Lonchura striata: one gene and its partners. The protein of the gene in region 1 interacts with the protein of each later gene in a pairwise test. Links are inferred from orthologs where the notes say so. Each region holds a gene or a part of one and is shown on either strand. Other genes may lie near its edges.

Region 1 (7,319 bases):
TGGCTAGAAACTCTCAGTTTCTTTCTTTGACTGAATCTGAGACCCACATGAGCTCACTGCTCTCTGCAGCTTCCTGAAAGGTGGCTGTGCTCAGGTGGGGTCGGGCTCTTTCTCCAGGAATGGACAGAACCAGAGGACACAGTCTCAAGCTGCACCAAGGCAGATATAGGTTGGGTATTAGGAAAAGGTTTTTGACTGAAAGACTTGTATGTGACATTCACATTCTCTGGACAGAGAGACACAACTCTGTCTCTGAAGCACAGAGAGAAGAAAACAACCTTTATACTAAATCCCACATAGAGAAAACAAAAGAACAGAGATAAAGATTGTTTTCTTTTCTCCTCCTGAGAGACAGAGGTCTGCCTCTCTCTGTCCAAAAAATGTGAATGTCACAGTCAAAGCTCTGGAATGTTCTGCCCGGGGTGGTGGTGGAGCCACCACCCCTGGGTGTGTTGAACACAAGCCTGGGTGTGGCACTGGCTGCCGGGCTCTGGTTGAGGTGTTGGGGCTGGGTGGGACTGGATGACCTCGAAGGTCTCTTCCAAGCCAGTGATTCTGTGAATTCTGTGAACGGAGGGGCTGCAGCAGGGACAATCTGCTGCCTCCTCCTGCTGCCCCCACCTGTGTCCTGGTCCAGACGTCGTTCCAGCGCGGGACGCGGGTGTTGGTGTAGCAGAAGCGCCGGGATTCCCCGTGCTGGGACGCGTGGCCCTCCTGCAGCGCCACGATCGCATCCTTGGGGCCTGGCGAGCACGGAGAGAAGGGCTCAGGCCTTGCTGCCCCTGCTTCACCCACCCAACCCCTTCTCTCCACTTTGCCATATTCCCCACGGTATTTCCGCTGTTTTCCTCGGAATTCGCCCTCGCTTCTTTTCTGGGATAACCCCGTGCCCTGTCGGGATCAGCGCATCCCCATCCCCGCGTCCCTTCTGGCCCGACTCCCAGCTCCAAAATCCCACCTCAGCGACACAAACCCGAGGGTGCCTCCGGCACGCACTCGCCCCCCGAGGTGAAGCGGCTCCCGAACGGCATCGAGGCCCGATGGTACCGGGAGATCGGCGCGGCGGGACACCGGGACACGAAAGCCCGGTCCCACCGGGCCGCACCGGCCCCGGGAAGCGCTCAGAGTGTTCCCTGGGGGCGGAAGGTGCCTCTCAGCGGACACCGGGCCGTTCCCCGTGGCCCACGCCGCCGGTCCCATGGTCCCGCCACGCCGCCCCGGGAGCCGCCGCTGCCCCGCTCCCCACTATGACTCCCCCCGGTCCCCGCCCATGGACGCCACTGTCCCGCGCACCTGCAGCTTCCAGGAGCAGGAAGGACAGGAACAACAACAGCAGCAGCACCACCGGCAGTCCCGACAGCCGCTGCCGCCCCGGCGCCGGTTTCATCCCTCCCGCCGCGGCTGCACCGGCCGCTTCCGCTTCCGCCCGGTCCCGCCGCCGAGGAGAGTCCACAGCCAATAGGAGAGGCGCTCGCCGGGCTTTGTCGTCGATTGACAGTTGGTTTAACCTATCAAAATTCAGCTTTGATCTCGCGCCCCTCCCCTCTGTTTCTGCCAGGTTGATTGACAGAGATTTTAACCTATCAGTAGTGAGCATGCAGGAAGCAGCCATGTTCCCGCCCTCGGTTACCACGGTGACCAACCTGCCCGCCATTCACTCAACAGCCACGCCCCACCCTGGTAACGGCTCTGACAGACTCGCCCCTCGACCAATCAGAGCGCAGGCATCACAAGCCACGCCCCCACCCCTCGGGTATCCCGTGTGATTGACAACCGCCTCCGCCTATCAGGGCGCGGCCTCGCGGTGTTGGCGCGAACGGGTCACGCGTGGGGGGCGCGCGGGTCCCGCCCCTCGCCCCCCGCCCCTCCCGCGGCCGCCGAACCCGCGGGCCCGGGGCCCGCCGCTCCCACCGGCCCGGGGCCCGCCGGCCCGCACGGGGCTCTGCCAGCGCGGCCGTGGCACGACGGTCACCGGTGACCCGCGGCGCGGAGGGGGTCCCGCATCCCACGGGTCAAGCGGCGGCTCGGCTCGGGGGCTCCGGTTCGCCCCGCTGCCGGCACCGTCTGTCGCTTCGCGGCGAGGCTCCCCCAGTCCCGGGAAGGGGGTGCCGCTCTCCGCGCGGGTTCCCCCCCGCCCCCCACCGTGGGGCGGTGGCCACCCGTGGGCGGGCAGCGGGGAGCGGGCTCGGGCGGCCCCCCCGCTCCCCCTCCGCGGGCCGTGGGCGGCGGAGCCGGGAAGCGGCGGGGCCGTGGGCGGAGGATGTGCGTCAGCCGGGGGCAGCGCCGGGGCTGGGAACGGCCCCGCCGCGCCGGACGCTTGGTCGTGGAAGGCGGGGGGAGTGACAGGGGGGCTGTGGGGAGGGGGTGAACCGGGAGGGCTTGGGCAGGACCCCCGCCATGGGGACCGTGCCCGTGCGGGATCCCCCGGCAGCACCGGGGATGTGCCCCGGGCACCGGCACGGCCCCCCGGCCAGGATCGCGCGGGGGCGGCTCTGGCCCCACGCCAGGCGCCGGCCGCGGTATAAATAGCGCCGAGGCACGCAGGGCCGGACCGGGGTGCGGGCCGTGACACCCCCCCTCCCGCGGGAGGGACCCCGGTGCTGCCGCCGAGGGGCTTCAGCATCCCCCCAGCCCACCCGAGACACCTCCGTGCGCTCCCGTTCTCGCCGCTCCGGGGAGCCGCTGGCGCGCTCCCCCCGGAGCCCATCGATGGCAGCGTGTGCGTGCCGGTGACACCGAGTGCCAGCCCTCCGCAAGGGCTCCGGCACCGGGGGGCACTGCCGGGACAGCGGTGCCGCTACCCGGAGCATCCCCGCTCCCGGTCGGGTTGCCACCGAAACCGGGGATGCTGCGAGCGCTGCCCGCGGGACCCCCGGGATTCAGGGTGTCCGCGCCGACACCGAGCACTGCGTCCCCATAGCGGGCTTCTGCCTCTCCCACGGGCCCCCCGTGCCACGCGTGTCCTGCCCGGTCCCTGCCGGGGTTGCGGGACCCCCGATGCCGCCGTGCGGGGCGCCGCTCCCGCTCTCCTCCCGCTGCTCCGGTGCCGGGGGGGGGTGGGGAAGAAGGGGGGCCGGTGCTGCCGCCTCCGCCGCTGCCCCCCCCCCGCGCTCGGCGGGGGCGGCAGCCGCGGGATCCGCCCCCGGGGCCTCCCACGCGCGGCGCAGCCGGGGCCGCTGCTATTTCACGGTCCCGCCCGTGTGGGCGGCGCGCAGAGCGGCGCGGCGCGGCGGAGAGAGAGCGCCCGGCCCGGCCGCGGGACCCCCGAGCCCCGGCACCCCTCGGACCCCCGGCTAGAGCCGGCCCCGGAGCCCCCCCGCCCCTCGCCGGCCGCCCGGCGGGGCGGGCGGAGCGGACGGAGGCGGTTCCAGGCGGCGGTGAGCAAGCGGGGGACGGCGGGAGGGGACGGGGCACCGGGGGGCACCGGCCGGGGCGGGAGTCCCGGGGACCGTGGCCGTGGTGGGAGTGGAGGGACCGTAGGGGGACGGAGCGACGAGGGACACCGAGCAGGGCGGGGGGCCCACGGGGTGTTGGCTACGGGGCTCCGGGCGGGTCCGGCGCGCCGGGATGCACGGGGAGAGGATGGGACCGGGGGCACACCGCGGCACCGGAGGGTAGCGGGAGGGGTCGGCGGGCTCGTGGGGGAACGGCGGCCGTGGCAGCACTGAGGAACCGTGGGGACGGCGGGGGGATGGAACGGCGGGGGTCGCCGGGCAGAGCAGAGCCCAGGGAAGGGGTGACCCCGGTGGGTCCGGGAGGAATGGGGGAGGATGGGGCACAGGGTGGGCTCGGGGCTCGGCAGGGCACCAAGCAGCTGCGGGGACGCTGGGGGAGGATGGCCCTGGTGGGACCGGGGTGGGGATGGGGGCACCGAGTGGGGCGGGGTCACCAGGGAGGGATGGCCCTGATGGGATCCAGGGGACCACGGGGGAACAGGGCACGGGCAGGGCAGGGGCTGGGGGATGTTGGCCATAGGATCGGCATTGGCACATCCCCCCGAGGATGGGGGGGCTGGGGGAAGCCCCCAGATGTGTATCCTGCTCCATGTGAGGACCTGGCACGGAGGGGCTGCTGGCTGGGGTGGGGGCAGAGGCTGGGCACAGCCCAGGGTAAGGGGTAGGGGCTGGGATGAGTGACCCCACTCATGTCTGTGTCATACCCAGGACTGTGGCCGCAGGGACCGTCCCAGCCCGGAGCACATGGGTGGGACTGGGCACCCCGTGGGGTTTAGGGACACTGGAACACCCATCCATGGGAATGCTCCCTTTGCCCTGTACCCCCAGGCCCCAGGGTGGGGAGGGGCTTTCTCCTGCATGTCCGTCCATCCCGGTGGTGAGTCCGTCTGTCCTCTGTCCACCACAGGCTCGTCATGGCCCTGCCCCGCACGCTGGGGGAGCTGCAGCTGTACCGGGTGCTGCAACGCGCCAACCTGCTGGGCTACTACGAGACCTTCATCCAGCAAGGGGGGGACGACGTGCAGCAGCTCTGCGAGGCGGGCGAGGAGGAGTTCCTGGAGATCATGGCGCTGGTGGGCATGGCCACCAAGCCCCTCCACGTCCGCCGCCTCCAGAAGGCCCTGCGCGAGTGGGCCTCCAACCCGGGGCTCTTCAGCCAGCCCGTCTCGGCTGTCCCGGTCAGCAGCATCCCGCTCTTCAAGCTCTCCGAGGCCGGCGGGCGCAAGGCGCTCAGCAACGGGCACGCCAGCCCCGGCGAGGCCGCGGGCAAGGGGGGCGGCAGCGCCGGGACGCCCCCAGCCCGCAGCCCCACGGAGCCAGGGGAGAAGCTGTCACCGTCAGCGGCTCCACCGTGGCCGGGAAGGAGCACCCCCGAGTCGGAGGGTGGTGGGGACGAGGAGCCGGGCGGTCCCCCCTTCTCCCCGGGCGGGAGCAGCGGGGAGCAGGCGGTGGGCACGGAGCTGGAGCCGGAGTTGGCACGGACGGTGGTGGAGAGCGTGGAGCGGCTGCTGCAGAGCTGCCCCCGGGGCGGCGAGGCCGAGCTGCGGGCGCTAATGAAGCTCAACAAGAAGCTGGCCAAGGCTGTGGGGCACATCTTCCAGCTGGAGGATGGTGACCGGCAGAAGGAGGAGGAGATCCGCCGGCACAGCGCGATCTACGGCCGCGGCGAGGCCCGGCGCCGCGAGGGCAAGCAGCTCACCCTGCACGAGGTGGGCTCCGTGCTTGAAGTTCCTGAGATGTGCTGGGCTGGGACAGGGACCGGGGTGGCTCTGGGGGTGTGGTGAGTGGGTGGGATTCGAGGTCTCCTCCCACGCCGGTTGCATCCACCAGCCTGGAGCCGGCGGTGCCTTAGCCGAGGGTTGCGTGGGCGCCGCTGTCCCGTGGGCGCTGCCGTCCCTGTCCCCGCTCACGCATCATCTCTGCCCCCAGCTCATCATCAATGAGGCGGCCGCCCAGTTCTGCCTGCGGGACAACTCGCTGCTGCTGCGGCGCGTCGAGCTCTTCTCGCTGTCACGACAGGTGGCACGGGAGAGCACCTACCTGTCCTCGCTCAAGGTCGCCAGGTGAGCCCACACCTGGGAAAACCCCCCCTTGCAGGCCTGGTGGGGCCTGGCTGTCACCCCCTTGCCCCCTGGGACCTGCACCATGATCCAGCACTTCTGGATGGGGCCAGGACCCTACAGCCCCCAGTTCCCTTTTGCCAATGTGGGTGGTTTCTGCCTGACCTCGGAGCGTGGGATGTGGGGAGGATGGGAATGATGGGGATGCCAGGCGTGGGAAGGGATGCCAGGCAGCAAAGGGATGCCGCTGGGGATGCCCTATCTCTTGCCTCCATCCCCAAAGTCCCCTGCCCGCTCTGCCAGGGTTGCTTTTTCCCTTTGCTCTCCAGCTGCCTCCCTCTTTTTCCGCCCCCAATTCCACCCGTGCCAGATCCCCAGCTTCTGGCATTGCCCTGCTTGGCGGTTCCGCTCACAGCGCGGTGCCTTGCTGCGGCCACCCCCACCCCTGACACAGCCCCTTTCCACCCCCAGGGCCCATCCCGAGGACAGCGGCGCCGTCGTGGCCAAGCGGCTCAAGCAGGAGGTGGGTGCAGGTGCAGGGGGAGCGTGTGCAGGTGTGCACACCTGTGAGCGTGGGTGTGACGGCGCAACGTGCCCGGGGCTGCCCATGCCAGCTTGGGGTGACGGCTGTGGGTGTTCTGGGGTGGGTGCTGCGGGGGACCTGCTCACCTGTGTGCTCCTGGCAGGCGGGAGAGCAGAGCCGTCCCGAGCTCCTGGCACTGCCGGTGGGGCTGGAGCCCCCCGGGGCCGGGTACCGAGCCAGCGTGGAGGAGGACACGGGCAGCCTCTCCGGGGAGAGCCTCGACGGCCACTTGCAGGGTGAGTGGGGGTCCTTCCCTTTCCTGGGGGGCTGGTGGTGGTCGTGCCCCGGCTCCTGGCGCTGAGTGTCACCCCTCTCTCGGCAGCGGCGGGGGCCTGTCCCCGGCTGACCCCTCCGCCCGGTGCGGCCCCGGACGTGCCCCTCGGCCTCGCGCCCCACGGGCTCTGGAGCCGCCACATCCTCCAGCAGACGCTGATGGACGAGGGGCTGCGCCTGGCCCGCCTGGTCTCCCACGATCGCGTGGGGCGGCTCAGCCCCTGCCTGCCGGGGAAGCCCCCGGGACCAGGTGAGCCCCCGCGGGGCCGGCGGGGCAGGACGGCACCGCTGCCTTCTCCTGTAGAATCGCCATCCTGACGCCATCTCCGTCTTCTCCCCACAGAATTCGAGGACGGGCTGGCAGAACGGGGTCCGCCGGCCCCCCCAGACCCACCTCGGGGCACCATCAAGGTGGAGCAGGAGACCAGCAGGCAGTGAGGCCCCTGTAGCCCCCCCGCCACCATTAACGAAGCAATAACGTGCTGGGGGGACGGGTGCGGCGGCGCTCCGGGCCGGGGGAGCTTGGTGGGCGGGGGGGGGTCTCATCCACAGCCCCCCCGGCCCCCTCCCGTCCCACACCGACGCTCTGGTTACCTCAGCCGCGGCGGGATGCGACTCCCAGCAGCAGCAATACCTTCATCCCGCCCGGCTCCGCTCCCTCGCCGTCCCCCAGGGCTGGGGAGCCCTCGATGGACTGGAGCTCCCTGTACAGCCCCGTGCTGACCGTCCCCCCCACCCCGGGCCCGTTCCCGCGTGGGGACAGACGCGTCGCACTGTGCGCTCCCACGTCAGCGCTGCCGCCCACGCCGGGCACACGGTCCCGTCCGCCACCCCCCCCACCCGCAGCGCCCACGCACCAGCCGCCAGCCCCCTCCCCGCAGCACGTGCCAGCTCACTGTGCACCCCCCCTGCCCACCCTGCGACCCCCGCCCCAGCACCGCATCGGCT
Region 2 (7,810 bases), on another chromosome or scaffold:
TAAAAGTGCTAGAACAGATACTATACTCAAGAAAGCCACATGTTCACTTACAGTGAGTTAATCATTAGCATCATCTTCCTGCCCAGGATGTAAATATATGGGAGTCCTAAATTTCTTTGTCTTCTTTGAAATTTCCAGGATTTTAAAATAGTACCCTTTGTAGGCTGGCTTAAGTATATGCACTATTGAAAATGCATGTGAAGGTGTAAATAGCAAGATAATAATGTTTGCCTTTATGGTTCAAGAGAGTTAAATTGAAAGGTGGCTGCAAAGAATCTTGTGATACTGAGTGACTGTGCAAGCAAAAGGAATATGAAAATTAACTGCAGGTCACCACAAGTAATGGAATAAGAAAAAATAATCAATTCTCTTTACATGGATATAGTCAGTGGCTCTAAATTAGCTAATACCTCTAAGAAAAAATGATCTGAGAATGGCTGCATTTTCTTTTGGAAACTCACTTGCACTGAAAAAGATCCAATATATTTTTCTCATATTTCCTGTACTGGCATTGCAGTCCACCAAGATGTGTAGTGGTGGAACACAGGATCACTTTGTAGTTGATCTACTTGCTGGTTCCTTCAGAAGTAACTATTTCAAGAGCACTGTGTGTATATAAACAACCCCAGGCCTGCCACAACAAATTCATATTTGACTCATTAACACCAGACTGGTTCACTGCCTGTGCATAGCAGAAAAGGGGACACAGAGAGAGCTGCTTATCTCAATTTCCCTCAAATGAAGTGTTCTTCAGTGCTTAACTAAGCAAATTACTCAGATGGCTTCATAACACTCCGCTGACTCTGGCAGAATTTCTTCATAATCTTCCTGGCAATTCAATTTCAGGTCTTCCAGGTGGTATATTCCCTCCCATGTACTGGAACTCATGCCAGGAGGAAGAGACAGGAAACACATGGGATATATCTCTCATCAACACTACCTGGTTAACTTTATGTGCATCATCCTCATAATCCTAAATTCAGCACACTCCAGTGTTACAGAAAATGCACAGGAATCTCAAGACGTGGAAATAAATAGCATGGGCTGCCATATCAGGAGAGCTGAGCAGCATTACTGCCAAGCTCATCCACTGCTCAGTGCTGGAGGCTTTATCTTGTCACACAGAAGCAGCATCAGTTCAACACCAGCCTAAGGAAATCCAGGGCCTCATCCACCTCCTTCTCAGAACTGGATCAGAGCCTGAAAATGTGAAAGTGACTCTTGAAAAGAACAGCCACCCAAGAAGTCACTCTTTGCATGTATCAACAAATTTCAAATGCTGCGATTGAAAGTGTTCTCACAAAATGAAATCTGTCATAAAATACGGCCCAATTCGTGGATTTTCAGAGTCTAGGAATATGACATTTATATAGGATTCCCTTCTGCATATCATTAAGGATAGAGGGAGATGACTGTTCAAAACACTTTGTGTGGAGTTGCGTTATTTGTATGTTTTATTATCCCTGTATTATGTATTGGTTTATTCCTTTGTGGGGCGGGAGCACGGCAACTTTGGCCTCGATTTAATTTCATTTAATTATAATGCTTTGCTTCATGGTTCATATTATGTTTTTTGGGTTTTTTTTTCCTCTCTTGCTAGTAGAAGGCAGGGAGCCTTTTTAAAAAGAGAATCACATTTCCACATTTTGTCTTTTTCCTGGGAACTCTAAAATCAATACAAATCCAGACTTATGGACAAGATAACCTTTAAACAAAAAAAAAATTAAACTGAAGAAAGCTTTTCAGGAAGAATTACAGTGGTGGAGTACAAAATTAATGTCATAAATCCTATTATGCCATTAAGATAGGACACAATTTTAAAAATAAAGTAAAAATATATTAAAAATTATGAATAAATTATATCCATGTACTTGGTTTTGTTGGTTTTTCTTTAAAAGTAACAATTTTAAAAAAATCAAACAAATTACAGAGGCGTATTTGAAGCATATACTATTCTCTACAGAAACCTTATGATGGACCAATATTTTTCCAAATAGTTCTCTGGATACTCAATATTTTACCAGCTGCCAGAATATCTCCATCTTTTGAATAGAAGCCTATGTTTCTAGAAATGCAGATGCTTATCACAGCCAATACTGAAGTTTCAAGGAAGTTATCACTGGTACACTGATATTATCCTGGAAAACCATACAGAGACAAAGACATACACATATATCATTACACATGTATACATATATGTATGAATTTACTGAGTGTATAATTTTAATATTTTTTTAATTTGCTTTACTTCAAAGGTATTATTGTATCTGTTCTATAAATGGGAAACTGGAATAATGATGAATAATTTTATTCATTGGATCAAAGACAATTTAATGGAGATGCCCAAACTGTCCTCTGAGTGAGGAACCAGTCTCCAGGAGAGGCACCCTCAATTTTGATCCCATCTCAAAGGAGGGCTAATCACAAGGAAAAAGCCATGTTCTCTTTTTGCTTTCCTGCCAAGGGAGCTCTGTGACTTTGTGGTAGGCACTTTCAGCTGAGGACATAAGGAATTCGGTATGTACTGTTCTCATAATCACACAGGTACAGAAAGACTAAAGAAAACTGGCATTTAAAGCCTTGGAGCCCCAAACTGAAATGAAACTGCAAACTCCTGGATGTTGCAAAGAGAGCTGCTGCTGAATTCCTGACATATGTAGGCTACAGAAATAATTCAAAATATGTAACACAGGCCCCTGCATGACATGCCACATTTGAACCTGGAAGGTTCTGATCCTGTTCTGCTAGTATGTTACTGTGTCATTTCTGGACAGTCATACTTCAAACTCTTGATCACTGGTTTCATAAAACTCTTTGGCATAGGTTTTGTTCCACTCTTTTTTTTTTTTTTTTTTTTTTTTTTTCCCGTGTGAGACACAAAGACGAGGCAAAAAGGAAGCCTGATTTCAACTGTGGCATTCAGCTACTCATTGCATCACATATTCAATCGCTGGTGAATTCATGAGTCTGGCACAAACACACTGTGAGTGACGAATTGAACAGCATTAGCAATCAGTGTATAATGCAACCATTTCAGCTCTTTCAAGGGAAGGTTTGAGATCACTCAGTGATGAGCACTGATAAACTGGTTCACTACAATAATTTATCTATTTTTTTTTACATCCTCTACAACAATGCAAGGCTTTTTTTCTCTGTGTGGTTAGTAATGGTGATGTTCATTATGTCAAAATAAGGAAAAAGAGGTCTGCATTACATGATATTCTTGCCAAAACATATTTGGTGCCTTCAGGTAGGTAAAATCAGATTACTGACAGCAGAGGGCAACACAGACCTCATTAGTGAATAAAACCAAAAACATGTATTAAAAAATCATACAAACATTTTACTGTATTGGAGTATAAACCCCAGCATCATTTATAGATTTACTGTAGAGCCAAAATTCTGGAAGTAGCAATCTCTTAAAAAATAATTTTGAACACCTATGTGAAATACATGAAATAGGAAGTACATGGGAAAGAGGAAAGCATTATAACAAAGGCAATGACAAATACCTTTGACTAAACTGCATTTACTTTTAGACGTTTACTGCATAATCAGACATGTCCAGCAGACTTCATCATATCAAAAAGCTGTAACCTTACGAGACTTTATATTTTTTTTTAACTCTGTGTATACCAATAGCTCCATTTAGCTGATTATACCAAAAGCAACACAGTACTATATTGAAAACAGGAAGTTTTACAACTTTTTTGTTGTTGTTCTCCGTTAGCCTTTATCTTGTGTGTCACACTGCCTTCCCTAGCCATGTTTGCCGGAGAAGGACCATATAATGACTGAAAGTTTCAAATCACATGAATGTCATTTATTTTTCATTCATTTTAGGGCTGAGAGAAGCATGGTGGGGCTCGCAGACCAATACCACAAGAAGGTCATGCCCTGCCACAGGGCAGCATCATGGTGTCCCTTTCGCCCCACAGCCAGATCCAAGTACCAGATCCAAGCCCAAAACAGCCGGCAGCCTCAGTGGAAAGAAACTGTGCCCGCACACCTGAGGCTGCTTGGGACAGCGAGTTATTTCCAGGGCTGCCGCCCGCTCGGGAGCGTTCTCACCCTGCGGCAGCCACGGGCACAGCACAGGAGCCCACAGGGAATACACCTGCCACGGTCATCCCACGGCAGATTCACGGGATCAGTTAGCTTGGAAAAGAGATCAGTGCTGATCAGCTTGCTCCGAGATCAGCGAGTCCAGCCCCTGACACAACACCGCCCTGTCAGCCAGACCACGGCACTGAGCACCACGTCCAGACGTCCTTAAACACCTCCAGGGACAGTGACTCTGCCACCTGCTTGGGCAGTCCATTACAGCATCTAATCATTCCTTCTGTGAAGGAATTCTTCCTAATGTCCAATCTAAACCTCTCCTGGCACAGCCTGACGCTATGTCCTCTCATCCTGCCACTAGCTGCGTGGGAGAAGAGGCCGACCCACAGCTGGCTACAGCCTTATGTCAGGTGGTTGTAGGCAGTGATAAGGTCACCCCTAAGCCTCCTTTTCTCTCGGCTAAACAACCTCCGCTCCCTCGGCCGCTTCTCCTAGGACATCTGCTCCCAGCCCTTCTCTGGACACGCTCCAGCACCTCAGTGTCCTCCCTGCAGAGAGGCGCCCACAAGTGGGCACAGTACTCGAGGCGGCCTTAGCGGTGCCGAGCACAGGGAAAGAATCGCTTCCCTAATCCTGCTGGCCACGCCATTCCTGGTACAACGAGACGTGGTTTCTGTTTCCTGAGACACGCGGAGCCGCCCCACGCCCGGTGTCCGCCCGCGCCCCGGCGGCGGCGGGAGCGGCGCGCAGCCGCGGGGAGATGGCGGCGGAGCGGGGAGCGGGCGGGCGGCGCCATGGCGGGCCGCGCGGCGGAGGTGAGGGCGCCGGGGCGCGGCGTGCGGGAGCGGCGCGGCGTGCTTCGCCGGGGGCAGCGGGAGTGCGGCTTCTCCGCCTCACTAGCGTCCGGGGAGCCGCCGCCCTTGCCTTGGCGCTGGCGGTGAGGTCGGGGGAAAGTCTCAGAGGCACAAGCCGCCGGCTGCTCCGCAGCCCTGGTTTGCCCTTCAGCGCCGTGCCAGCCCCGGCTGGCCCTGGGGACCGAGGGGAACGGGGAGCAGCGCCCAGAGAAGCGGGGCTTTGGTAGGTAGGGCTGAGCTTGCTTTTCCTCCTGGCCCGGCTGTGCGGGACAGTATTTCGCCCCTGAGCAGGACAGCAGTGGGTCAGAATTAAGCTAGACGGGTCCGGGGATGTGTAGTAGGAACGGATATGAGGAGCCAGAGGAGGTTTAAGTTGGAAATAATTAGAAAGAATTTGTTCACCACGGCGATTAGGTGCTGGAATGGGCTGCCCAGGGAGGTGGTGGAGTCACCGCTCCTGCAGGCGTTTGAGGACGTGGCACTCAGTGTCATGGTCTGGTTGACAGGTGATGTTCAATCACAGGTTGGACTCCATGATCTCAGATCTTTTCCAGCCTAATTAATTCTACGATCTTGTGAAATTTTAATTAAGAATCTGGAGAAAACCCCACAGAGTTAGCATGTCCCTGGCATTCTGGGTCACAGAGTGTGTGGGCACGCCGGTGTCGTGGGAATCGAGCACAGGCAGATTTGCAGGCTGATCTCCCCCAAGCTTCATGGCCTGGTGACCGAGATGAACACTCCAGTAGCGATTCTCAGCCGCTGGTGGCATGAGCCTGACCCCAGATCTCAGCCAGACAAGCTGTCACCTGTGGCTGGCTTCGACGCCAAGCGAATGTGAGCTGCTTCCAAATGCACACGACTGGGCTGCTGCTCCCAGCTGCCGTAACTTCTGTAATTCCACTCACAGAAGAGGCTGACCTCGGAAGCTACAGGATGGATATCTGTAATGGTGCTATTATGGGAATTCTTTATGTATTTTTTATATTGGTCTCCATGCAGCATTGATGTCTTGAAATAAGATATATGTTGGTATAAATATAGAAAGGAGCTAGAGTCCATGCTTTTAAATGTAGTATTGTTTTAATAGTTAAATAGATAAAAATCCATTTCATTTAAAGTGTATTTCAACCTTTGCTTAAACCAGTGCATCATGGGTCTTTGATCAAGGCTCTAAAGTATTAAGAAATTTTGTACTTTCACTTTTAAGTGTTCATATTTTAGCATAAGAAATGTCAGCAGACACTAATAATATTTTACAAGTACCATTTGTTTAAATCATACTCTTTATCCATTCAGAATGGATGGCCTTTTCAGGAGCATATGCACTCTCCTGCACACAAAGGATTTATTTTTAAAGGAAAAAAGTTTTATAATTTTTCAGTGGAAAACCTGTAAAACAACAACAGTGATACTTAATCTAAATATGGCCCTGGCAATGGAATGACAAATAGAAATTGTGTAGAGCCAAGACTTAACTAAAAAAAAGAATGTTAAAGCAATGAAAATACAGTGTTTATCTGACAAATGATGACAAGCTTGCAGAAGTTCATAAAGCATGTCTTTATTACTTACGTGTTCCATTTTTATATTAATTTGTCAGTACAGTTTTTCATAAAAAGACATCGGAAACTTAGCATTTACCTTTACTTGTAGTGGGCTAGAATTTAATTCCTTGGTAGCTGTGTATGATTAAGAATAATCTTTAAAGCTATTTTGTCAAGGAAATGTGTTCAAAAGAAAGCATTGCTTATTTCTCTCCAAAATGATTCATATTTTCATTCTGAAGTATTAAGTTAACAAATGTACTTTAGATGGATATGTCTTAAGTACATTTTTACTTACTGATTTAGGCTTCTGTTTTCAAGACAGTCTGTTTTGTTGGACTTCTATGCCAATGCAGAGCTCAGTGAAAGCAGGAAATGTGATCCACTCCAGGAAAGCTTTGTTTAGATTGAGGTTGTCCAGGTTTCAAATAGGTACATCTGCAAGAGGATATAAACAATATTTGTGCAGACTGAAAAACAGATGGAGACGTAAGAAAATTTGATGAGATCTTTCACTTAAAAGCCAGTGTTATACCTGCAGCTCACAACATGTTCTTCTTTTCTGTAGGTTTAAAAAGTTCTAATTCTTCTTGGATAAATGAAAAAAAAATTAAGATAAAATTACAAAATAGTGGAGGAAAGCTGTAAAACCAAGAATGAGCATGGATGGTAACATCTTTGTAGGTAAACAGGGAAAGAATTTTCAGTCTTTTGTCGTTTTGTAGTAGACAATTGTTTTATACATAATTTTGTAGTTATAATAGAACATGTAAAAGTCTGGTTTTTTTTCAAGTACTGGCTGCTGGAGACATGTTTTGCATAATACTGTAACCTTTCCTTTTTAAAAAAGGTGCAAATTCCCTATCATTCTGTCTGAGGTGGAAAGATGGGAAGACAGTTCCCATTTTTTTACTTCTAAGAGCATCATAGTGTATAAACCAATCTCAATGTACCAGGAATTTTGAATTACAATTTCCCAGTCTTTGGGGGACAATGTTATGAATGCTTCTTGTGCACAGAGATTGAGTAGAGGGAGCAGAGGGATGCAATCCCAGTGGTGTTGAAACACCAATAAGACATAAAATTAACTGAAACTGTTACCTGTATAAGGCAATACAGTTAAAGGATGTTGAAAAAAATGGTTTCTACTTGGAGATATCACAGCCTTCTTGAATTATTTTGACTGGTTTGCTGTCTGAAGTGATTGGAAATATGAATATGAACATTTGCATCCATCCAGATGAACAGTTAGGAGACTGAACTATATTGCATAAAAGTAGTTATTTAATAAATGATTACACAAACCCACTTAGAACATGTTTCTATTGCCAGGAATGTTTCTTGAGT
Region 3 (7,950 bases), on another chromosome or scaffold:
ACCCCATCATCATCAACACCCTCCAACCTTATCAACACCCCCCAACCTTATCAACACCCCATCGTCACCAGCACCCCCCAACCTTATCAACACTCCTATCATCATCAACACCCCCCAACCTTATCAACACCCCGTCATCAACACCCTGTCGTCATCAACACCCCTCCCAACCTCATCAACATCCCTAACCCTCATCACCCCCAGCCCCATCACCCCCACACCTCTCCATCCTCATCATCACCCTCCCTCCCCATCAACATCCCCCCAACCTTATCAACACCCCATCCTCATCACCCCCAGCCCCATCACCACATCCTCTCCTCACCCACACCCACCTCCTCATCAACACCCCCAACCTTACCAACACCCCCATCCTCATCAACACCCCCAACCTTACCAACCCCCCATCCTCATCAACACCCCCAACCTTACCAACACCCCCATCCTCATCAACACCCCCAACCTTACCAACCCCCCATCCTCAACACCCCCAACCTTACCAACACCCCCATCCTCGTCACCCCCAGCCCCAGCACTTTCCCACCATCCCTATCCACCCCAATTCCCATATCTCCTCATCCCCACCCCCCCCATTCCCATCACCGCCCCTCCCCGTGCCCACCCCATGCCCCAAACCCCCCATCTCTCTATCCTCATCACCCCGTCCCCATCCCCCTATCCCCACACCTCCCCACCCTCATAAGAATTCCCCCATTCCCGACCCCCTCCCGCCATCCATCCCCCCGTCCCCACTCCCCTGCCCTTCCCCCCATCCCCAGCCCTTTCCATGCTCATCCCATTCCCTCTGAACCCCGGGAATGGGACAGGAGGGCAGCACCAGGGGGGAAGGGGGGATGCTGAACTGGGGGGGAAGGGGGCAGGGAGAATGAGGGGGGGTTAAATGGGGGTCTGGGGTAACGGGGGGTGGAAATAGGGATCTGGGGTAGTGGGGAGTGGAAATAGGGATCTGGGGTAATGGGGCTTTGAAATGGGAATCTGGGGTAATGGGGGGGGTGGAAATGGGGATCTAGGGTAATGGGGGGGGTGGAAATGGGGATCTGGGGTAATGGGGGGGGTGGAAATGGGGATCTGGGGTAATGGAGGGGTGGGAATGGGGATCTGGGGTAACAGGGATGGAAATGGGGATTTAGGGTAATGGGGAGTCAATGAGGAAGTGGGGGCTTGGACATTGTGGGGCTGGTGCTACAGGGGGACCTGGGGAAATGAGTGGGGCTGGAAATGCAGGGCAGGGATATTGGGAGGATAATGGGGGGCTGGGGAATGCAGGGGATCTGAGGTAATGGGGGAAATGGGGCATTGTGGGGGCTGGGGCAGAGATGGAGAATGGAAATGGGGGCTCTGGGGAAATGGGAAGTCTGGGACACTGGGGGGCACTGAGGGGGTCTAGGGCATTGGAGGGTCAAGCCCCATTGGCATTGGGGGCCAAGCCTGGCCAACACTCAGGAATTATTCAGGACAGAAAAGGGACATCCCAGCTCTGGGGGAGAACAAGCCAAATTCCCAATGGCTTGATCCATGCTCATAGTGGTCTACTCCTTCCGAGATGGGATATGGCTAAAAAAGCTGGATATCTGCTGATTTTTTTTTTTTTTTAATCAGGAGTTTTAATTTTCAGGCTCATCCCCGAGCTGGGATGTCCCTTTTCTGTCCTGTCCCCAAGGCTGGCTGTGAGGAGAGCTCAGAGGGACCCCTGGGGTGGGAAATGACATCAAGAACTGCCAGGGAAGGGAAGGGAAGGGAAGGGAAGGGAAGGGAAGGGAAGGGAAGGGAAGGGAATATAAAATAATTTGCAAGCAGGGAGATTCCATTGGGATAAAAGCACCCATCCCAAAAGCCTGCAGCAGCAGAGCTGAAGGAATTTTGGGTGTTCACCAAACTTCATGATTCCCAAAAAACCCTACAGCAGCGCATGGGATAGCTCCCATGCTTGGAGCTGGCCATGGTCTGAGAGGTGGATGAACATTCCAGGCAGTGGGAATGGCACAATCAGTCCATATAAAAATATCTGGTAATATTTTAATTGACTTCTGTTGGTTTTCTCCATGAGGGAAGAGTCTGGAGTGACTCAGAGTCTCTAAACTGGGTTAATGTTCCCTCAGTGCCAAGGTGCTCTTCCAGGCATGACATCCTGCTGGGAAGGGAGAGGGAATGCCCTGGCATGGCCACTCCAGCCTGGGAAACCAACACCACTGCACCACACCAGGGCTTTCCCATCTAATTCCCCCAAAACCACCCCATGAGGGTTCACTGCTCCAGCTCAGGGTGAGCTCCTCCACAGGAGCCTTTGGATTTTGTTATTAATATGGCAAAGAACTTCTTCAGCTGCACATGGGGTGGGGGGATCCCTTGGATTTCAGCTCTTAAGGAGCACCTGTTTAATCCTCTGTGGAAGAGCATCTCTGTTATCATCACCCCCAGCACATCACCTCTGTCCCATCCCCTGTCCCTTCAGCCTTGTCACCATCATCCCTGTTCCTATCACCTCTGTCCCTTCATCCCTGTCACCATCATCCCTGTTCCCATCACCTCTGTCCCTTCAGCCCTGTCACCATCATTCCTGTTCCCATCACCTCTGTCCCTTCAGCCTTGTCACCATCATCCCTGTTCCCATCACCTCTGTCCCTTCATCCCTGTCACCATCATCCCTGTTCCCATCACCTCTGTCACCATCATCCCTGTCCCATCATCCCTGTTCCCATTCCCTCTGTCCCTTCATCCCTGTCACCATCATTCCTGTTCCCATCACCTCTGTCCCTTCAGCCTTGTCACCATCATCCCTGTTCCCATCACCTCTGTCCCTTCATCCCTGTCACCATCATCCCTGTTCCCATCACCTCTGTCCCATCATCCCTGTCCCTTCAACCTTGTTCCCATCACCTCTGCTTCTTCAGCCCTGTCACCATCATCCCTGTCACCATCATCCTTGTCCCTTCAGCCCTGTCACCAGCACCTCTGTCCTATCATCATCCCTGTCACCATCATCCATCTCACCATCGTCTCTGTCCCATCACTTCTGTCATCATCTCTGTCACCATCATCTCTGTCCTATCATCCCTCTCCCATCAACCCTGTCACCACCCCTGTCACCATCACACCTGCCCCATCATCTGTCTCCTCATCTCCATCACCATCATTCCTGTCACTGTCCCCCTGTCCCCTTTCCCTGTCTCCATCATCTCTGTCCCATGATCCCTGTCCCATCAACACTGTCACCACCACGCCTGTCTCCTCTTCCCTATCCCATCATCTCCATCACCTCTGTCACCACCACCTCTGTCCCATCATCCCTGTCCCACCACCTCTGTCCCTTCATCCCACCCAAGAGGGAAACCAGAGGACATGCACCCAACCCCACTAAACAACACCCCAAAGATTTCCCCTGCTCTGGAGCCCCGGATTTATTACTGGTGGGGAAACACCTGGAAAAATCCATGTAGGAGGACAAGAGCCTGCCCCAGGCGAAGGCAGCTCCAGGGGAGAGCAGCAGCTCTGGATCCAGGACGTGCAGGAAAATCCCAGCTCCCGGCTGTTCCCAGGTGCCCGGGAAGGACCTGGAGGCTCCGAAGGGAAGGGCCATCTGTCACGGCTATCACGCGCCCAGAGGGACAGCTGAGGCTGCTGACCTCAGCTTCCAGCTCCTGCTTTCCTTTGTGGGGCTGCAGGGGGGAAAAAAGGGAAAACAATCAGGAGAGAAGGTGCCCTCCAGCAGATTTTTGTGTTTTTATAGGATTCAGCTTGGAGCTCTTGATGTTTTCACTTCCTTTGTCAGCAACAGCATTTTTCTAGGGATTTTTTTTGCCTGCCCTGTACCTCCACTTCCCAAGGGATTGCTTCCCATCCTCACTCCACCTGCGTTTTCCAAGGCAGTGCCTCTCACTCCTGCCTGCTTTCCTTTCTGGGATCAGCACCGGAGCATCGCTGCAGCAGCCTGGGCTGATTCTGCTCTCTAAGCTGCTTCTCTAAAGGAGGCTCCAGGGGTTTTCCAGAGGCACTGGGAGACAGCAGGGACAGGGATGAAGATTACAGTTGTTTTGTGCTGGCAGCCACCTCTAGAGTTTGCTGCTCCTGTCACACTGGGAGGATCCCAAATCTGCTCTCCTCGGATGTCCCTGCACCCAAAGGTGTCCCTCTCATCCCATCGGCTTTCCCAGGGCAGGTGCAATGTGCTTTCCCAAAACCTCGATCCAGCAATTCCTGCTGCCGTGATTTCCCCAGGATCACAGGCACCACTCTGCTCTGAACATTCACTGTGCTCTTCCCACAACCACAGAATCATGGAGCAGGTTGGGTCGGAAGGGACCTTAAAGGTCAGCTCGTTCCAGCCCCAGGGACAGCAGGATGAGGGGATTCTCCCTCTCCACTCAGGTGAGATTCCAGTGGGAATGCTGTGCCCAGCCCTGGGCAGGCACAGGGACAACCTGGAGCTGCTGGAGTGAGACCAGAGGAGGAACCAGAGCTGATCCAAGGGTTGGAGCCAGGCTGGGAGAGCTGGGGGTGCTCACCTGGAGAGGAGAAGCTCCAGGGAGAGCTCAGAGCCCTTCCAGGGCCTAAAGGGGCTCCAGGAGAGCTGGAGAGGGACTGGGGACAAGGGATGGAGGGATGGGACACAGGGAATGGCAGGCTGGATAGGATATTTGGAATTGGGAATTGTTCCCTGGGAGGGTGGGAGCCCTGGAGCTGAGGTCTCCCAGCGGTGCCCGGGGACATCTGGCCCTGCCAGGCGCTATGAAATGGCCTCTTAATGAAGAAAATTAAACCATCCTCTACTAAGACACGGGGAATGGATGGATACTGGGGAGGGATCGCTGCCTGGGAGGGGAGCAGGGCAGGGATGGCGCTGGATGCCCGGAATCTCGGGACTCGCAGCCGGGACCTCCCCGCTCCGGCGAGACCCGCCCGTCCCCTCAGGCCGGCCCCGCCCCGCCGCTCCCGCCGCTCCCGCGCGCTCGGCGGCGCTCTCGCGAGACTTCCCGACATGGCGCCGGCGGGCAGCGCCAACCTGCCGTGGTACGGCCGGGAGCGGGGGCACCGGGACACCGGGACACCGGGACACCGGGATAGCGCGGCGGGACTGCCCCGCGGCTCACTCCCGCTCCTTTCTATCCCCGCTGCAGGGTGGAGAAGTACCGTCCGCAGGCGCTGTCCGAGCTGGTGTCTCACCGGGACATCCTCAGCACCGGTAATGAAGCTCTCTCCCCGCGGTGACCATCCCCGCCGGTCCCGGCTGTCCCCCAGCCCCGTTATCCCGTTGTTATCCCGTTGTTATCCCGCAGTGCAACGCTTCATCAGCGAGGACCGGCTCCCCCATCTGCTCCTCTATGGGCCGCCCGGTACCGGGAAGACATCGACCATCCTGGCCTGTGCCCGGCAGCTCTACCGGGAGCGGGAGTTCGGCTCCATGGTGCTGGAGGTGAGCGGGAATGGGATGGGATGGGATGGGATGGGATGGGATGGGGTGGGGTGGGGTGGGGTGGGGTGGGATGGCATGGCATGGCATGGCATGGCATGGCATGGCATGGCATGGCATGGCATGGCATGGCATGGCATGGCATGGCATGGCATGGCATGGCATGGCATGGAGGGATGGGATGCAGGGATACAGATCCACACCATTCCCTTCCAGCTCAACGCCTCCGATGACCGGGGCATCGACATCGTCCGAGGGCCCATCCTGAGCTTCGCCAGCACCAGGACCATCTTTAAGTACGTGGTGGGTCTGTGCTTCCCAAAGCTCCCCATCTCTTTGGTGCCCTCCTGCCCTGGCACTTGGATTGGGAAGGGGATTTGGGAGGTCCCGCGGTGGGTGGGTGCCCAGCAAGCAGGCAGGGTGAGGATGCAAGAAGGGCTTCCCAGGAGTCGGGCTGGGAACAAACATCCCAGCTCCCCCTTCTCCAAACCCCTCTTTTCCTAGGAAAGGCTTCAAGCTTGTCATCCTGGATGAAGCCGATGCCATGACCCAGGATGCTCAGAACGCCCTGAGGAGAGGTGAGGGGCACTGGGAATCCCACACCGCATGGATCCCACACTGTGGGCAGCCATCGGCCTCATCCAGCCCGGCACAGGGTGGGAATCAGGACGAGGCAGCAGCCAAGGACCCTCCTCCCCTCCGTCCTTTTTGCAGTGATCGAGAAGTTCACAGAAAACACCCGGTTCTGCCTCATCTGCAACTACCTGTCCAAGATCATTCCCGCCCTGCAATCCCGCTGCACCCGCTTCCGCTTCGGCCCCCTGACCCCGGAGCTGATGGTGCCGCGGCTCCAGCACGTCATCCAGGAGGAGGGGTGAGCGGGGGGTCCCCCCACGCCCCCTCTGCCCCCTTCCCTGCCAGGGAGGAGCAGCAGGCTGGATTCCCACGGTTCCACTTCCCCGGGGGTTGTTTTCCAGGGTGGATGTGACCGAGGACGGGATGAAGGCTCTGGTGACCCTCTCGAGCGGGGACATGCGCAGAGCCCTCAACATCTTGCAGGTGGGAGTGTGGCCATCAGCCCCTGGCCAGCTGAGCTGGAGCGGCCTCTTCATCCTTCCTGTTCCCTCCTCTTCCTCAGAGCACCTCCATGGCCTTTGGGAAGGTGACAGAGGAGAACGTTTACACCTGCACGGGACATCCCCTCAAGTCTGACATCACCAACATCCTCGACTGGATGCTGAACCAGGATTTTTCCACTGCCTACCGCAGTATCCTCTACCCTGGGGGTTATTTCCAGCTGGGATAAACCCTGCTCTTTCTCAGGGATCTCTGTGGCCTCTGGGGTGGGTGCTGCTCACTGGGGAGGCCCCTCAGGGATGTTCTTCATAGCAGATCTGGCAGGGAAACGCCTGGAAGCAGGGCCTTGACTCGCTCTCATCCCAGAAATCATGGAGCTGAAGACGCTGAAGGGCCTGGCCCTGCAGGACATCCTCACTGAGATCCATCTCTTCGTGCACAGAGGTGGGGAAAGGGTCTGGCTCCGGATGATTCTGGAGAGGCCACACTTCCTCCTGCCCCTCACTGAGTGTTTTTTTTTCTCTCCACAGTCGACTTCCCCCCCTCCATCCGCATCCAGCTGCTGATCAAGCTGGCAGACATCGAGTAAGTGTCACTCCCACAGTGTGGGCACCCTGGGGTGGCTCCTGGTGGTGGCTGGGCACTGCTGGCACACAGCCTGTGGTTTTGGGGGGCACCCACAGTGGTGGAAACCCCCAAAGCTGCCCTTGGCCCCCTCCAGGTACCGCCTGGCTGCTGGCACCAGTGAGAAGATCCAGCTGAGCTCCCTCATCGCCGCCTTCCAGGTCACCAGGGACCTGGTGGTGGCTGAAGCCTGATCCTGCCTGATCCTGGATCTGCTGCTGGATTTGGGAAGGACCATCAGCACCATGCCTGGAGCTGCTCCCTGCAGCTTCCCAGATCCTTTTTGGAAGCCTTGAGTGCACAGTCAGGGTAAAAAGGTTGTTAAAAGGTAGCATTATTCCCAATGGGAAAATACAGGTGCCTCCAAAGCCCAGCAGGTTGCACTGGTCTTTGCTTCTCCCTCCTGAAGGGAGGTGGGGGGTGAGGGGTGCACCAGCTTTCTGTGTTCAGCTGTTCCCAAGGGATAAACAACATCCTGGAGATGTTTGAAGGAGAATTACCTCCACAAAGCCTGCCAGCACACAGGGAATGTGCTGTTGCTCCAGCCACCAGCTAAGCTGGAGGATGGGGACAAACAAAACACTGCTGCATGCTCAGCATGTCTGGGAATTTGGTTGATTGAGTGCCACACTCCAGCACGGAGAGAAAACAACAGAGGAATGGGAGCAGGGGGTGGAGTGAAGCCACCTCTTCCCACAGATGGACACTTCTGGCCAACCATTTCTGCCACACCACTTCCCTGGCAGCCAGGGCGGTGCCAGGCACTCCCAGGTCACCCGAGCAAGCCAGGAGGGAAATCATGTGGAATCAATTTTTATTGA
Region 4 (7,225 bases), on another chromosome or scaffold:
GCCCAGCCAGTGCCACCCCTGCCATGGCAGGGACACCTCCCACTGTCCTCGGTTCCAACCTGGCCTTGGGAACTGCCAGGGATCCAGGGGCAGTCCCAGCTGCTCTGGGAATTCCAGCCCAGGCCCTCCCCACCCTCACAGGGAAGGATTGTCCAGAATATCCCATTTACTCCTGCCCTCTGGCAGTGGGAAGCCATGGAGGATCCCATGGAGTTGTGCTCCCTCCAAAGTGCGGGACACGAGCATGAGCACTGCAGCACCAGGTACGTGGGGCCATTTCTGCAAACCCACAGGAGGTTCTAAGCCCTTTCCCCCAAAATGCCACTCTCCAGGTCACTGCTGCCTCAGGAAATACCGACGGTGGAGCCGAGGAAACAGCAAGCAGCTTCACTGCTGCCCACGAGCTGTGCTGTCACAGCACCTCCAGCTCCCAGCCCCTCGCTCACAATCCCATCACGTAGCAGCAGGCAGAGAATTGCTCTTTTTAGGAATTCGGACACAAACAAGTAAACCCAGCCCTGGAGAGCTCCCAAACCACTGCAATCCATGGGAAATTTACAGTCAGCTCGTCCATGGCCGCACCGGACCTGCACGAGGAGATGCTGGCTCTGCTGCGGGGAATTTTGGTGTCACTCCTGGCGGGACAAAGGGTTCCCCGAGGGGCTAGGGCTCCGTGGGGAGGGGCTGTACTCACCAGGCCATCGCAGGTGCTGAGGGCAGCCAGCCCGCCCTGCAGCGCCCGGCCCCGCACCTCGCCGATCATGTGGCACGAGTCGGAGGAGCGCGGCTGGATCTTGGCACCGGCAATGCCCCCGAAACGCCGCTCGCTGACAAAGCCCGGGGCCAGGAGGTGCCTGTTGAGGCTCAGGTTGAATTTCAGGGGCTGCCCTCTGTACTGCAGCTCGTAGAAGGCGGGAAGCTTGCTCCTGGAGGCCGGAGACCTCCGCTGAAGGGCCCGGTGCGACAAGTCGTAGGACAGGAAGGATCCGCGCTCGTCCACCTTGATGGGATGGACGATGTCGCTGCCGGAGCGCGGCTCTGGGGAGAGGGGGTGCCGGGGTTACCCGCAGGGTTCTTCACCTTTCCTCCCACACCCCTTCCCCCGCTGGCGGCGGCAGGGACCGGGACACCAGCTGGATGTGCCCGCTGGGACGGCACGGAGCAGGGACAGCAGGGAGAGCAGGGACATCACAGCAGGGACATCAAGGAGAGCAGGGACATCACAGCAGGGACATTAGGGAGAGCAGGGACATCAGGGACTGCAGGGACAGCAGGCACTTCGCCTGCCCCTGCTGCCCCCGGGGCCAGCGCTGGGCTTTGCCGGGGACAGCATTAAGGTCCGGGTTAGGGCCGGCTGGGCGAGGGGGAGTCAGGCAGCTCCGGAGCCCGGCCCCGGCTTGCCCCTATTAACTCCCGCTGTTAAACTCCAGCTGCAAGGAGAAAAAAGCACCGAACAAACAACGAAAATCTCCCGAAAAATGGAATCCACGCTTTGAGGCGGTGTTGGGACACGCCGTCTCTAGGAGCAAAGCGCCCGCGGAGACTGAGTGCTCCGGAGCCGCCCCGGGCGGGCTCAGCGCGGACAGCCGGGAGGGCACCGGGGCTCCCGGGAGGGCACCGGGGCAGCCGGGAGGGCTCCGGGGCTCCCGGGAGGGCACCGGGCTGTCCGGCTCCGGGCACCGCGGCTGCCGGCTCCGGGCACCGGGCTGTCCGGCTCGACGCCGCCGAGCGCCCCGCGAGCATCCCGCAGACACCCGGCGCTCATTGCCGCGGACAATCCCGCGGACAATCCCACGGACACTCGCGGCTCCACCCGCTCATCCCCGCGGACAATCCCGCGGCTCCACCCGCTCATCCCCGCGGACAATCCCGCGGACACCCAGCGCTCATCCCCGCGGACACCGGGGGCTCCACCCGCTCGTCCCCGCGGACAATCCCGCGGACACCCAGCGCTCATCCCCGGGGACAATCCCGCGGCTCCCCCCGCTCATCCCCGCGCACCCCCGGCGCTCGTTCCCGCGGACAATCCCGCGGCTCCCCCCGCTCATCCCCGCGGACAATCCCGCGGACACCCAGCGCTCATCCCCGCGGACAATCCCGCGGCTCCCCCCGCTCATCCCCGAGGACCCCCGGCGCTCGTTCCCGCGGACAATCCCGCGGACCCCCGGCGCTCCGCGGCCATCCCGCCCCCGTCCCCGCGGACCCCCGCGCCCCTCCCGCGGTCCCGCCGAGCCGTGCCCCGGACCTGTCCCCGCGGTGCCCCCGCCCGCGGCCAGCGCCAGCGCGGCGGCCACGGGGACGAGGGGCAGGAGCGGGCGCAGCGCGGCCGGGGCCGCCATGGCTGCGGCGGGCTGGGGGCTCCGCGGGGCGGGGATATTCGTGTTTGGTGTTATTCATATTGGGGCGGGGTTATGTACATCAGGAGGCGGGGTTCTATTGATGCCTTAAGTTTCAGCTTTCCCATTTTCCGCATTCTGCACTGCTTTAGTCTGTAGCTTGGAGCTTCCTACAGAGTGTCAGCAGCTCCCTCACAGCTCAGTCACACAGAGCAATCCTTTTCCAGCCCAGAGCCAAGGACACCGCTGCAGCTTCAGCACCAAAAAGTGCAAACAATAAATTGAGGAGAGCAACCCGGCAGGATGGGACCGCACAACCTGGAGCTGCAATTGGACAATTAACCCAATATGGAAATGGACCAAAACTTATAAAAGTGTGAAAAATCATGACCTGGAATCCAACTTGGGTGTAGCCACGCTCAGGCTCTTGTACTGCCCAAGGTGTACCCTGTGAAGGGATTTAATAAATCCCTGCTTTATTCCTTTAACTCTGCCCGGTTTTGTTCCAGGCAGCCTCTCAAGGCATCAATGCACGCCGGACGGGCGGGGCTATGTACATTCGGGGCGGGGTTATACCAATTAAAAGGCGGGGTTATGCACATTAGGGACTGGTTTTGCCAATTAAGAGGCGTGGTTATGCACATTAAGGGGCGGCTTTATGCGCATTAGGGGCGGGGTTATGTACATTAGGGGCGGGTTTCTGTGTATTAGGGGCGGGGTTATTCACATTAGGGGCGGGTTATTCGCATTAGGGGCGGGGTTATGCACATTAAGGGGCGGGGTTATGCACATAAGTGGTGCTTAGTCAATTAAGGGGCGCGGTTATGCAAATTAGGGGCTGTGTTATGTACATTAGGGGTTGGGTTTTGTCAATTAAGGGGCGTGGTTATGCACATTAGGGGCGGGGTTTATTTGCGCGTTGCCAGCGTGGCCCATGGCGCCCCCTGGCGCTCCCTTGCCGCTTTGCATCTTTTGCCTGGCCGTGAGGACCGCGATTAAAAAAATCACAAAAATTCAGCGAATTTTCGGTCAGAAATAAAAAACGGTCTTTGGCTGATGCCGCCATGTACTCCCTTTCCTCTGCCGGGGCTGCCTGTCGCTGCCTCCTTTTATTTTCTCTCGTGTTGAAGCGCACCGGGAGCAAACACGCGGGATTACTCCTCTCTGTTAATTACCCCCTCGGGGGCTGCTCGCAGCTCTGGCATCCCACAGCTTCCCCGGGACGGCCGCACCTCCGCTGATGGATTACGTTTGGGACAAAGTTTAATTAGGCGATAATGTTAACTACGCCAATTAGGCGATAATGCTAACTCCGCCAATCAGCCGGGGGCGCGCCCTCTGGCGGCCGGAGCAGGGAACGCCCTTACTGCGGGTGCCGACACCCGCTGCCGCCGCTGGGTGTGCGTAGCGCCCGGCTAGCTCAGTCGGTAGAGCATGGGACTCTTAATCCCAGGGTCGTGGGTTCGAGCCCCACGTTGGGCGCATTGCGTTTTTCCCGTTTTTTCTCGGTTTTCATTAATTTTTTCGCCCCCCGGCCCGATCCGGCTGCTCACGGCGCGGGCAGCCGCGCTCTGGGCAGCGGTCCGGCTGGCGGGGCGGAGCGGGCGGGCGGGACTGCATGTCCCGGCATGCCCGGGCCGCGGCTGCGCGGCGGGGCCGGGCCGGCGGCGGGGCCGGGCCGGGCGGCGCCGGGGCCCGCGGGAGCGGCCGGAGGAGGGACCGGCCCTTATAAATGGCGCCCAAGCAGGACCCCAAGCCCAAGTTCCAGGAGGGTGAGTGCGGCAGGGCCCGGGGCCGTGCCCGGTGCGGGGCCCCGCTCTGGCCCCGCTCTGGCCCCGCTCTGGCCCCGCGGCTCGGGGGGGTTTGGCCCCAGCGCTCCCCGCTCAGCCCCGACCCGCTGGGAATAGGTGGGAAAGCGAATTCCCGCAGCTTTGTCCCTTCCCGGCCTTCCTCTCCGCTCCCGGCAGCACGCGGGCCCTCCCCACCCCGTTCTATCCTTCATTTTCCTGCGCGGATGTTCCTCGGTGTTAAAACGGCTGCGAGCCCTCCGGTGTGTCGGGGGTTTTGTTTTGGTGCGTTTGGAAAATGGTTGTTATTTTTTTTTATTTGTTTGTTGTCGCCCGGAAGGGAGCCCAGTGCAGGAGGATTCATGGAGGCAGCGGTGGATGCCAGCACAGCTGGAATCCACATCTGCCGCAGAGCACCGGGGTTTAGGTGGGTAAGGATGACTCGGGCTGTTTAGGAGGATTTTTCGACGTATATTTGGATTTTTAGGTGATGGTTGAGGTTGAGATTAATAAAGTAAGAGAAACGGAAATAGCAGTGCAGTGTAAGATGGATGCCCCATCCCTGGAATGTCCCAGGCCAGGCTGGACGGGGCTGGGAGCAGCCTGGGACAGTGAAGGTGTCCCTGCCATGGCAGGGTGGGATGAGATCAGCTTTGTTGTAAGGAACAACGTGTGGATCCAGGGATCAGCCCGTGTGTGAGGGAGCAGGAGCCTGCCGGGTTATCATGGAGACAAAGAACCCTTTCTGCGGATCATCCCTGTGTTGTTAAAAATGAATGTTCCTCGGTAACTGTGGGCATCTCTCCTGCAAAACACTGCCCAGCTCTGAGGCTGAGGTGTGTCTGCCACCAGCACTGTGAGCACCGTGACGATGAGGGTGGCAATGCCACCTCTGATTGTCAGCCCCGTCTCTAGGGACATTTTTAAATAAATAAAAGGACCAACTGTGTGATGCATCAATGTGGACAACCAGCGCCTTTTTCTTTGTGAGACACAGAGGCATTTCACAGTTCCACAGCTCATCTTCCCAAAAGCAGAAAGCACTGCAGCTTCCAGGAGGAGATGTGCCCTCAGATATCCTGGGTTCAGCATCCTGCAGTTCCCTCAGTGGAGCCACACAGTGAGGCTTGGCCACGAGGAGATAAAACCGGCCTGAGGGACAATGTCATCCTGCTCCAAAGCCCACAGTGAGGGGGTTCTGCTGCTGCCCAGCCCTGCCCTGCCCCACAGGCTACGTGGGGAAGCAGCATGGGGGTCTCTCTTCCTGACTCCCCTGGGCTGGCAATGCCATGTGCTGCCCTTCCTGCAAGGAGAGGACACGGGTGACAGTGGCAGGAGCTTCAGGTGCAGAGGTGGGTGTTAGACAGTGTCCTGGGTCAGTGACCCCTCAGAGGGGCAGCTCTGCCTGCCTGTGGCTGAGCCCAGCCTGCTGTGGGGGCTGCAGCTCCCCGAGGCTGGGGAGGAGCTCTGGGGATGTCAGGGAGGAGCAGGGATGTGGGCTTTGCTGCCAGAGTCACCAGCACTGTGTGCTGTGTGTGTGCAGCTGCTCTGGCATCTCGGGGATCTCTGCTCTGATCCCTCTGCCGGGACAGAGCATTTGTTTCTGGGGTCAGTCCTGCCTGGGAGCTGCCCCCAGGCTGCTCTGTGCTGTTCCTGGGGCACAGGCTGTGGGCATGGCCCCTGAGCTGTTTCTCTGCGCTGTTCCTGGGGCACAGGCTGTGGGCAGGGCCCCTGAGCTGTTTCCCTGTGCTGTTCCTGGGGCACAGGCTGTGGGCATGGCCCCTGAGCTCTTTCCCTGTGCTGTTCCTGGGGGCACAGGCTGTGGGCACGGCCCCTGAGCTGTTTCCCTGTGCTGTTCCTGGGGCACAGGCTGTGGGCATGGCCCCTGAGCTGTTTCTCTGTGTTTCCCTTGCAGGTGAGCGAGTGCTGTGTTTCCATGGACCTCTCCTTTATGAAGCCAAGGTGGGTGTGGGAGGCTGCAGGTGGCTCCTGCTGCTGCCCAGGAAAACAAGGACATGTTTCTGTCTGCTGTGCCTCTAGATGGGACCAAGGACTGGAACTAAATTTAACAGAAAGCTGTCTGAAATCAATTTCAGACCCTGGGGCTCTATTCCAGAACCATTTCAGGAAGCCCAGTGGCACCGTGCAGCTATTTTGGGAAGCTCCCAGAGGCTGTTAGAACATCCCAGAACACTGAACACTGGAAATATCCCAGAACACTTTGTGCCTGCAGGATTTGGTGCCTGAGCTGCTCAGGGGGAGGGGGCTGAGTACAGCCCGTGGCCTTCCACAGCACCAGTGCCCAGGAGGAGCTGCACTGCAGTGACAAAGGACGTGGCAGTCCCAGTTCTGCTTCCCAGCTCTGGCTCTTTCACCACAGGAGCCTGCAGTGCAGATTTGTGCCCCTGCTGCCTCAGTGTCTGAGTGCCCCACTCCCCCTGGAAGGGAAGGAAAGGGCTCTTGGGGCTGTGTGGGTTGGAAGGTGTGCAGAAATTCCTGGGGCACCTCAGACAGGGATTTAAATCCTTTGGATGTTAACACAGGGAGGCAGGAGAAGCGCTCAGCTTCTCTCTTCAGGAGAAAGAGTTGTTGTAATGCTAAAATCTCTCCCAGAGCACTGAGAGGGTTTGGGCTGCTCCAAACCATTCCCACCTTAGGGCTCCTACTCTGCTCTTTCCTGCCTCTGGATCAGAAGGATGAGGTTGTGGGATTTGTTGGGAATGTGTGCTCAGGGTTGTTGTGCCTGCAGAGAGGAGGGTGATGGAGGCTTCTGGCTTTGAGGCAATGACCTTGTGCCACCCAGCCAGCCCCGAGCTGGAGCAGCTGTGCTTGCCCTGCTCTTGCCAGGGTGGAATGAGTGCTGCAGGAGCAGGCTGTGCCAGCTGGGTGCTGCAAGGGATTTCCCAGCTCACAGGTGGCTTTTGGCTGGCTGTTTGTACCCAGTGGGTCCTTCAGCGTTCCTGCGCTGGCAGAATGATCTTGAAGTTTAATTTTAAAAAGGTTTGACTTGTTTATTTTAAAGAGTTTCATTTTAAAAGCTGCTTTGTCAGTAGTAATGAATAACAACCTTGGCTTTCTTCCTGCTCCTTTGATCTGTTTTTC

What was found.
Region 2: the proteins of NAB2 (region 1) and TCEANC interact in binary tests that used the Homo sapiens proteins (3 or more experiments, as listed by UniProt). The two-hybrid records come from large-scale screens. The link is inferred for Lonchura striata from reciprocal best matches to the Homo sapiens genes NAB2 and TCEANC.
Region 3: the proteins of NAB2 (region 1) and RFC5 interact in binary tests that used the Homo sapiens proteins (3 or more experiments, as listed by UniProt). The link is inferred for Lonchura striata from reciprocal best matches to the Homo sapiens genes NAB2 and RFC5.
Region 4: the proteins of NAB2 (region 1) and MORF4L1 interact in binary tests that used the Homo sapiens proteins (3 or more experiments, as listed by UniProt). The two-hybrid records come from large-scale screens. The link is inferred for Lonchura striata from reciprocal best matches to the Homo sapiens genes NAB2 and MORF4L1.

Annotation. Positions count from the first base shown.
Region 1 is NC_134629.1:5,746,488-5,753,806, forward strand, and holds NAB2 (NGFI-A-binding protein 2), read left to right. Parts: upstream 1-4,310; 5' UTR 4,311-4,369; coding exon 4,370-5,164; intron 5,165-5,384; coding exon 5,385-5,518; intron 5,519-5,986; coding exon 5,987-6,038; intron 6,039-6,201; coding exon 6,202-6,334; intron 6,335-6,420; coding exon 6,421-6,621; intron 6,622-6,714; coding exon 6,715-6,809; downstream 6,810-7,319. Other genes in the region: NEMP1 (nuclear envelope integral membrane protein 1), read right to left, coding at 622-743, 1,294-1,654. UniProt on the Homo sapiens protein: Acts as a transcriptional repressor for zinc finger transcription factors EGR1 and EGR2. Isoform 2 lacks repression ability.
Region 2 is NC_134604.1:99,181,752-99,189,561, forward strand, and holds the start of TCEANC (transcription elongation factor A N-terminal and central domain-containing protein), read left to right. Parts: upstream 1-4,799; 5' UTR 4,800-4,822; coding exon 4,823-4,877; intron 4,878-4,907; exon of another isoform or gene 4,908-5,139; intron 5,140-7,810.
Region 3 is NC_134620.1:3,082,950-3,090,899, reverse strand, and holds RFC5 (replication factor C subunit 5), read left to right. Parts: upstream 1-4,946; 5' UTR 4,947-4,996; coding exon 4,997-5,028; intron 5,029-5,135; coding exon 5,136-5,200; intron 5,201-5,294; coding exon 5,295-5,431; intron 5,432-5,644; coding exon 5,645-5,724; intron 5,725-5,932; coding exon 5,933-6,006; intron 6,007-6,142; coding exon 6,143-6,302; intron 6,303-6,405; coding exon 6,406-6,487; intron 6,488-6,566; coding exon 6,567-6,696; intron 6,697-6,871; coding exon 6,872-6,949; intron 6,950-7,035; coding exon 7,036-7,090; intron 7,091-7,226; coding exon 7,227-7,323; 3' UTR 7,324-7,502; downstream 7,503-7,950. UniProt on the Homo sapiens protein: Subunit of the replication factor C (RFC) complex which acts during elongation of primed DNA templates by DNA polymerases delta and epsilon, and is necessary for ATP-dependent loading of proliferating cell nuclear antigen (PCNA) onto primed DNA.
Region 4 is NC_134613.1:23,960,860-23,968,084, reverse strand, and holds the start of MORF4L1 (mortality factor 4-like protein 1), read left to right. Parts: upstream 1-4,223; 5' UTR 4,224-4,350; coding exon 4,351-4,408; intron 4,409-6,038; coding exon 6,039-6,085; intron 6,086-7,225. Other genes in the region: ADAMTS7 (A disintegrin and metalloproteinase with thrombospondin motifs 7), read right to left, coding at 695-1,038, 1,681-1,855. UniProt on the Homo sapiens protein: Component of the NuA4 histone acetyltransferase (HAT) complex which is involved in transcriptional activation of select genes principally by acetylation of nucleosomal histones H4 and H2A.